Oryzias latipes: one gene and its partner. Each later gene encodes a partner of the first gene's protein in a complex. Links are inferred from orthologs where the notes say so. Each region holds a gene or a part of one and is shown on either strand. Other genes may lie near its edges. The genes, in order: fbxl5 and ireb2.

Evidence for each region.
Region 2: the proteins of fbxl5 (region 1) and ireb2 are in contact, whole or in part, in a cryo-EM structure (PDB 6VCD), measured with the Homo sapiens proteins. The link is inferred for Oryzias latipes from reciprocal best matches to the Homo sapiens genes FBXL5 and IREB2. Residues at the interface, in NP_036293.1 of Homo sapiens: Asp656, Glu657, Tyr661, Cys662, Asp663, Asn664, Ile665, His669, Ala670, Asp671, Thr672, Ala673, Ser674, Gly675, Cys676, Gln677, Asn678, Leu679, Gln680, Cys687, Arg688, Ser689, Gly690, Glu691; in NP_004127.2 of Homo sapiens: Asp89, Phe90, Ser129, Asn217, Val220, Glu221, Arg224, Arg228, Ala758, Gly759, Ser760, Arg763, Asn764, Thr777, Pro778, Arg779, Asn782, Ser783, Tyr784, Gly785, Ala786, Arg788.

Annotation. Positions count from the first base shown.
Region 1 is NC_019862.2:28,339,564-28,344,045, forward strand, and holds the start of fbxl5 (F-box/LRR-repeat protein 5), read left to right. Parts: upstream 1-1,577; 5' UTR 1,578-1,628; coding exon 1,629-1,712; intron 1,713-2,252; coding exon 2,253-2,468; intron 2,469-3,701; coding exon 3,702-3,797; intron 3,798-3,892; coding exon 3,893-4,088; intron 4,089-4,482.
Region 2 is NC_019864.2:10,482,579-10,486,395, reverse strand, and holds part of ireb2 (iron-responsive element-binding protein 2), read right to left. Parts: intron 3,472-3,817; coding exon 3,387-3,471; intron 3,296-3,386; coding exon 3,139-3,295; intron 2,102-3,138; coding exon 1,977-2,101; intron 1,877-1,976; coding exon 1,772-1,876; intron 1,696-1,771; coding exon 1,553-1,695; intron 1-1,552. UniProt on the Homo sapiens protein: RNA-binding protein that binds to iron-responsive elements (IRES), which are stem-loop structures found in the 5'-UTR of ferritin, and delta aminolevulinic acid synthase mRNAs, and in the 3'-UTR of transferrin receptor mRNA.

The DNA of each region.
Region 1 (4,482 bases):
AGAAAAGGACCAGTCATTTGTTGAAGTTGACAATCTTCCTTTAGAAGACAAAAGTTGTTCTTTTATACACTGCAGAGTTTGTCCATTATTATTTAATTATTTCCTTTTTGTTAAAATACATTTTAAAAACCCTTACTTTTTTGTGCCATATGTGTAAATACGTGTAATAAATGTACATATTAAAGATTTTATAAATCGCCAGATAATAGCCTTAGTTTGATGACTGAGGGGACTTTCTGCATTCACAAAACCTAACTGTAAAAATTACATTTTTATTTTTTTGTTTCCACATTTTCTGAATATGTATTAACCTTTAGTCAGCCACTCATAAAAAGATTAATTCTGCAGTTTTACAGAGTTATGGGGCTGTGAAATATGCCTCTGCTTTTTATTTTTATTTTCATAGTTTAGTCATAAGTACAAGACGGTAATCCTTTACACAGGTTATTTAATGATTTAAGGTTTATTTATTTTGTTTGTCTCTAAGACACACTTGTATCTTACATGCGAGAAAAAAAGATTAGTTTTGCACGTAAAATGTGAGGCATCAAAATTCAAAACCTTGTCACAGTAAAGCTCATCAGGGATTTACTAAAAACAAATTCTGCTTAGGCGATGTCATAAAAAGGTGTTCCTTATAATAAACACCTCTGGTACTAAAAGAGTGGCTTGCTAAAAAAAACACAACAAAATATGAAACAAGTTAATGCAGCTGTAAAGAGCATTTAATTACAGTGGTGCAGGGTCAGATTCATGGTGAAATAATTGATTATGCTGTTTAACAGTCTGCAGCCTTTTCTCTTCCTGCCAATAACAAAAACAAAAGCGATACTAACTGTACAGCCACAGGATTTTTCCCTTGGGAACTAAAAAGACACTTTAATATTATCCCACGGGGTAATTTAGCCTTTTTTTTAACCTTGATGAGGAAAAAAATAGCATTTATCATGTGGCAGGACAGCAAATTTTACGCTATTAATAAAACAGAACATTTCAAGTGGGATTTGTTAATTTGTTTCGCAAGATGACCTGATGAGACCAGCCTGTGTAAATTATAAAGTGAACACCTTTCAACAAAACAATTTCAGCTTTTCAGTTAATATCCCAGATCAAAATGAGATTTATTAAATATACCTTTTCTGACATACTGACTGGATACACAACAGCACAGGTGTGCACTGCAACATAAATTCAATTTTACTATGATCTTTATTAAAACACAAATGGAAATATATTTATTTAGCCTGTATGTTAGAAAGAAAACGAAATAAACAAAAAAAACAAATTTAGATTTCACATGTACTACTGACAAATTTAAATATGTCATGTGTAAACGTATAATAAAAATAACGAATTTAACGAAATATAAAATATGAATTTAAATACAAAGAACGTTATTTAATGTAGTAAACAAATTTAAATGTCATCATTAATCTCTACACAGCATTACTTTAAAAACAACATCTTGCGTACACGTATACGCTGTTTTTTTCCCCACATTCAAAACGTAAATAATCTACAGCTGTTTGTGTGAGATCTGATACTGCGCAGACTCGTGGTCACGTGACCAACACCAGGCCCGCCCCCGAACCGAGTCTAGGCGCTGCAGATGACGCAGTCCGGTGAAGATGGCTCCCTTTCCAGAAGAGGTGGATGTTTTTACCGGCCCACACTGGCGGATGAAGCAGCTAGTGGGACTGTACTGCGAGAAGGTGCGTTTAGAAAACAAAAAACAACAACAAAAGAAGTGTTTTACGGGGTATTTTGATGGTTTGTGGTCAAATTAGGAGGGAACGGCTGCTAGCTTGTTTGCTAGCTTTGTGTTACGTGACCCGTCGCACGATTGTGTCACGTCTGCCTCGATTCTGTTTATTGTTACGTGGTGCTTACACTTAGATAAGTTCATCCTGGATCCTTACGGGTTTCAAAGTGATTTCCAGCAGATCTTCTATCAGTTGTTTTGTTAGCCGGAATCGCAGCAGGATTTGTTGTGCAACGTGTTGTTACGGGGCGGCCTCACATGCTTTAATTATCGGACACACATATTTTCACCCTTAAGCGTTAGTGCCTGTATTATCTCGCATCCAATGATATATATATATAATCTTCTTTATGTGATGTCGGCTGCGCTTACGTTAGCTGGTGTGGCTACATCAGTGTGTTCCTCCTCCCTTGTGGTAAAATCATGTGAAAAAGTTTGGGCTCCACAGTTTTTATTATTTCATTCGAGTCTGTTGTTTTTTCTTCCACAGCTGTCAAAAACTAACTTCTCCAACAACAATGATTTCCGCTCCTTCCTCAAGTCTCTGTGCGCGACCTTCAAGGAGTTCAAGATGCACGAGCAGATTGAGAATGAGTACATCATTGGCCAGCTGCAACAACGTTGCTGCACAGTTTATAACGTGCACTCTGATGACAAACTGTCAGAGATGCTGTCCCTGTTTGAAAAGGGGCTGCACAATGTCAAGGTAAATATGCCAAAAACCTACATTTCTTTCATGCACTCGATGCAACTAAATAACCCCTTCAGCAAATGCATGCATGCACCCGCTGATCCACAGTGTGTAGTAATCTGTTATTAGAGTAACTGTCAGGCTAACCACTAACAAGATACTAGAGCAACATCAGAGCTGTCATTTTGTTGGGATAATTATAATTTATTGAACAGACACGAACTTTAGCCTTTGAAGAACAGTAGATAAAAAGTTATTGTTTTGGCTCAAGCCTCCAGCAAACTCCAATCTCAGCTGCTTTCTTGGATTCGTGAATTTGTGTAAATTGGAACATCCGCTCTGCCAAACTCTCTAATATCTCTTTATTTAGTTTGGAGTGAGATCCTGCTTCCTGTCTGAAAGTTTCTACAGATATTAATTTGCAGCAGAGACTTATTTGTAAATTGTTGAAATATCTGTTTAAAAAAAAAGCACAAAACATTGAGTGTGGGAAGATTTGACTCGTATTCACAATCTCTGATCATCTAAAAGTCTAGCTCCTGTGGCAAACCATTGGGGAGAATAAATTCCAATTAAACTTTTCTTGTTGCAGTACACCTCAAAGAAAAAATAAAACAATAAAAATAATTGTAAAAATAGTGCGATAATAATAATAAAAGCCCCCAACACACATTCGCAGGATACAGAAACCAGCAGAGATACAGTCCATGAATCTGTATTAAAACATGTGGAAATGTAAAACTTACTTGTAAAACTTAAAAGCTAAGCTGAAAAGATTACTTAAGGTTTATCTTAAAAACCTCCACAGAGGATGCAGCCCTTGCATCAGTAGGCAGGCTGCTTCACTGGTGAGGCCCACAGTGCTGAAAATGTGGGCTTGCCATGGCTTTTTGTTCTGACCCTGGGGATCACCAGCAGACCTGCACCTGAGGGCTCTAGGATGGTTATAAACTAACAGTTCAAATTCTATTAGAGACCCAGCCCGATTATCCTTGGTCTATTTTGAAAGTGTTCCCGGTGGTCTTTTAACTATAGTTATGCAGGTTTTTTCTTTACAATATTGGAGCTGACCGGCTGTACAGTCGTGAGCCGGAAGCCAGCTCAGACGAGGAAAACAAAGAAGTTAAATTTTCCTTGCGCAACTTTTAGAATCATGCAAAATACCTAAAGCGTGGTAAACGTCTGCTTATGACTGTCCAAGAGCAGCTGATCTAAGATCTGGGATTTCTGTCTGTTCTGTGGTTTTAGAATGAATGTGAGCAGCTTAACTATGCTCGTCAGCTGAAGGAGAGACTTGAGGCGTTCACGCAGGACTTCCTGCCCCACATGAAGGAAGAGGAGGAGGTACAAGATAATCATGCGGGATAAGCAATAATCAAAAATGTCACCTGTTCATCCTTTTCAGCGTCAAGCTGTGTTTTAACGGAAATGTGTTGCAGGTGTTTCAGCCGATGCTCATGGAGTACTTCACCTACGAGGAGCTGAAAGACATCAAGAAAAAGGTGATAGCCCAGCACCACAGCCAACAGCACGGGGACTGTGCTGCCGGTGTGCTGAAGGGATTCCGTCTGTGGTCGCAGGCTGAGGAGCTGCAGAAAGCCTTTAAATATTCGGATCATGAGAAGACAGACTACGGTGAGTGTTTGTCCAAATGACTAAACTTGTTACAGGTTTCCAGTTAAGTGCATGACAAAGATGAGTCAAGCGTCTGTTGAAGGCCACACACTTCTTTTTTTGTCTTATCTTCAGTCATGTTTTAAAAAGGCTTTTTATGTAATCCAGCAGAGAAACAGTTTTTTTTTTAAATGAACAGCAACAGATAGATATTATGACCCGTTACCAAAATATGAGACTAGTTAAGGCTTTATTTGGGGTTAGTTGTGTTCAGCCCTCTAATGAACTGATAAACTGTCCAGAGTGGAGCCCAACCATAGCTGGACAGGCTCCAGCATCCCTGTGACCTATGACAGGATTAAGCAGACATAGAAAATGAATGAATGGATGGAGTTGTGTTCGTCTGTGATAGGAA
Region 2 (3,817 bases), on another chromosome or scaffold:
TGAGGTGGGATCTCACTCCTGAATGGCAAGAGTGGTTGCCATGGATACTGTTGTACATCAATGTTTGTGTTAAGGGAAAGCTATAAACACCCGCTGTCAGTTTTTCACATTTTTTGTGAGAAAGAAATAACATGGAATCTGGATGAAAACATTTGGATTTAAAGTTGTATTTTAAAAAAAAACATTTTAGAATTTTTAGCCAATTGCACCAACGGCTTGATGTACCTCATGGAGAACTTGTGGAAATGCTGCGTTTATGTGATGTTTGAATGATCGTAAGATAGAAAAACAACAAATGTTCCAACCCCACATGGATGCTAGAGCGGAGTCCCCAAACTTTAACTTGTGAGGTCAACATTTGATGTTTTTTTTCAACTTTTATCTGTCTTTTATTGTAAAGCCCTATAATAAAGTTTTATTAATTCATGGTCCTTTTAATAAGATAAATAACACTATTTATGTAATAAAAAAAATGACCAAATAACTGTGATTTTTCAAAGACCAAAAGTCAGGAAAAAATAGAAAAACCAATAAATAGAAGATCCTCTCCCGTCGTTGACCAGCTGAGACTTTGAAGCTGCAGCTCCTCACGTCTCACAGTTTGCGCTCAAACTGAGCAGCTGAGTCCTGCACGTCTGTTTCTCATCCAGTAATAATGAAAGAAAGCACATTCTTCTGTCTTCTGCTGCAGCTACGCATATAACTGCGTTACCTTTTCACCAGTACAGAGTTCCCTCCTTTATTGCAGGAGTTACGTTCTAAAAATAACCATGATCGGTGAAATCCACAGAGTCTGATTACAAACGCTTATGGCAGTAAAACTCCTCACTGCACACTTTCTACACTTTTCTCAGACAGACATGAACATTTTCATCCTTTTCTCTGTTTAAATTCTGAAACTTTCATAGAATTTAGGTCAAGGATCTTAGAATGAAAACAAAGATCTGATTGATCACAAATTTCTGTAGATCTGAAGAGCTCCGCGTTTCTGTACAGGAGACACGGAGGAGATTGATTGACAAGGTCTCCATCCAATCAGGACACAGAACAGGGTGCGCTGTTTAAAAAAAGTAGCACAATCGCTCTAAATGAGTGAGCTAAACCGGGAAAGATGATCTGCGACGTAGAAAGGGAAGACTGTCTTCTGTTCTGTTTGACAGAGATTTTAGAGGGTTTCAGGCTGGAGCTCAGACTGCAGAAGAGGGGGATAAAATTTCACGTTCTATGCGGGTCGTGATAGTGTAGCCAGATCAAAATAAATGATATAACTGATATTGTTCAGTGGGCCGGACCAAACATGGAGGCGGGCCGGATCCAGCCCGTGGGCTGCAGTTTGCCCACCCCTGGTGTAGAATAAGCTTGAAGTATTTAGCACTGATCAGTATGGTAAAGAGAATCAAACAAATATCTGATCCCTGATTCCTGATGCAACATTTGATTTTGATCAAGTGTGAAACTCCGTGATCAGATCAGGCCGTCCCTCCCTGGAAATAACCCCATTATTAACGTTGGGCAGGACAGAGTCAATAAAAAACCAAAGCTTGAAACTGACCGTCTGCTCTGCAGGTATTTGGCGGCGGTGCTGGCCCTGGCGATGCTGCCCGCTGGCGAGATGTGGTCGGTGCTCACTTTGTCCCCGAGGAAGAGTAAGGCGTGAGCGTTCTCTATGGACTGAGGAGCGGGGAGCTCTTTGCTCTGAGACAGGGGAGAGGAGGATGAAAGGCGAAGTCAGGGTCCCGGCGCTCCCACAGAGAGCTTTCAGAGGACTTACCAGCTTGCTGAAGAAAGGTGGACAACGGATGTACGTGGACTTGGGATCCCACGGGAAAACCACCGAGTCTGGACTTTCAATGTTGTTCCAAAACGTGTTCCCTTTCTGGAAGAGAGCGGAACATCTGTCAACATTTACTCACATTAAGAAACGAACTTTCCTTTGCATCTCCATTAAAAAGACAGCTTTAGTTTCATCTCCTAACCTCCATCCTTCCCCTGAGATCCTTGAAGACAGAGGAGATGACCGTGTCCTCCTCCGTCTGCTGGACCTCCTCTCTGGACGGCCAGATATCACTAAGATACACCTCCTTTCCGCTTGAAGATAAACCTGATCAAAGACACACAACAACTCTATTGTTACTTTGCAAAAGAAAGAAAACACTACAAATACACCAGAGCCACTATTTTGTAATTTTCTCCCGTTTAGTCCAATTACTCAGGTCGCGGTGGGCGGGGCTAATCGCCGCAATTTGAAGCCTTCTGTTCACATTGATGATTAAAATTGTTATTTGACAGTACAGAAGTTATTTGTTGAAAAAAACGTTCTAAAGAACTTTTATTTGTGAAACAAATGCTTGAGCCTGGAAAATGGTTTGTTCTTTTTTTTCAATGTATAATAGAGAATTTAATTGTAAAAAAAATAAAGGTTTCTACTTCACAGATTTTGTCTATCAGGGGTTCTTTTTGGAACGTAACCCCCCCGAAAAACAAGGGTTTACTGATCTATATATATATCTATATATATATATAGATATAAATGTATGTGGTTTTTTTCTTTTCTTATTTCTTTTTTTTAGTTGTCAAAAACAGGGTTTTTTTTGTCCATCAGCAGGACAAGAGGACCAGCATCCTTATCAAAAACCAAAAAACAAGGTCAGCTGTCATGAGGTGTTAAAGATGAGGTCAAGTTTTACAAAATGTCTTTTTAAGGATTAAACACAAAAGGCTCAGTTTGCAGAAATTGCTGGCAACGTTCTTTTTCAGCAAAGTCGGAGATTACCCAACCTGGAAGGATCATCCTAAAACCAAAACTTTACTTTTCTCCTCAACACCTAAAAGACAGCGAGGGAGATTGTTGAATCAGATGAAAAAGTGTGAAGAAGGCAGATTTTGATCAACTTGAGTGTCTAAAAAAGCTTTTTTTTTGAGTGGCTTCAAACATCGGGTCATGTTTCTTAAATAACTTGTACAGCTGGCGCCGGCTGGATGATTTGAGGCGTTCAGACGCACAACAGAGCAGAAAACAGTCATTTCTGCATAAACGTGTGTGTGTGCAGCACACTGAATCACCACAAAAAGCCCATTCACTGTGATTTAAGCACCAAAATCCTCCCATGATCCTCACACGCAGATCCCCGCCCTTACCTAACGGCTCCTTCTCAAAGTCGATTCCCACAGTGCCCGCAATGGCGTAAGCCACCACCAGGGGAGGGGAGGCCAGGTAGTTGGCACGCACGCAGTCGCACAGGCGTCCTTCAAAGTGCCTGTTGCCGGACAACAGACCGCAGGTCACCAGATCCCCCTGAAATGAAGACGTTCATTATTAATGGGTTAAAACAAACAAGCAAATAGAAAAAAAGCACAGAGGAGGATCACAGATGGTGGAAAACTACCTGTTTGATGGCGTCCACGACGGCGTCCGGTAACGGTGCTGTGTTTCCAACGCAGGTGGCACAGCCGTAACCGATCACCTGAAACCTGTGGAGATATAAACACCAACGTTAGTGAAATAAGTCCAGACAACTTGAAAAAATAAAAAGACCAAATCTGAAAGTTTACTGGAAAAACTCCCCCAGTGAGCAACAAACGTTGAATTTGAAGTTTTATGGATTTATCATAGATTTGAAATATTTTACTATTTTAAACTAATGGCTTTTAATATTGATGGCTTTTATGGCTTTATTTTTTTTATTGTGTGTGTTGAATGGAAGCAGCTGGCCGCTTTTTAATTTCCTTCAGGATTAATAAAGTTTCTTCATCTCTTATCTCTCTGAGAGAAAACATAATCATATCACTGAAAAAAGAATTAAAGGATCCAAACATA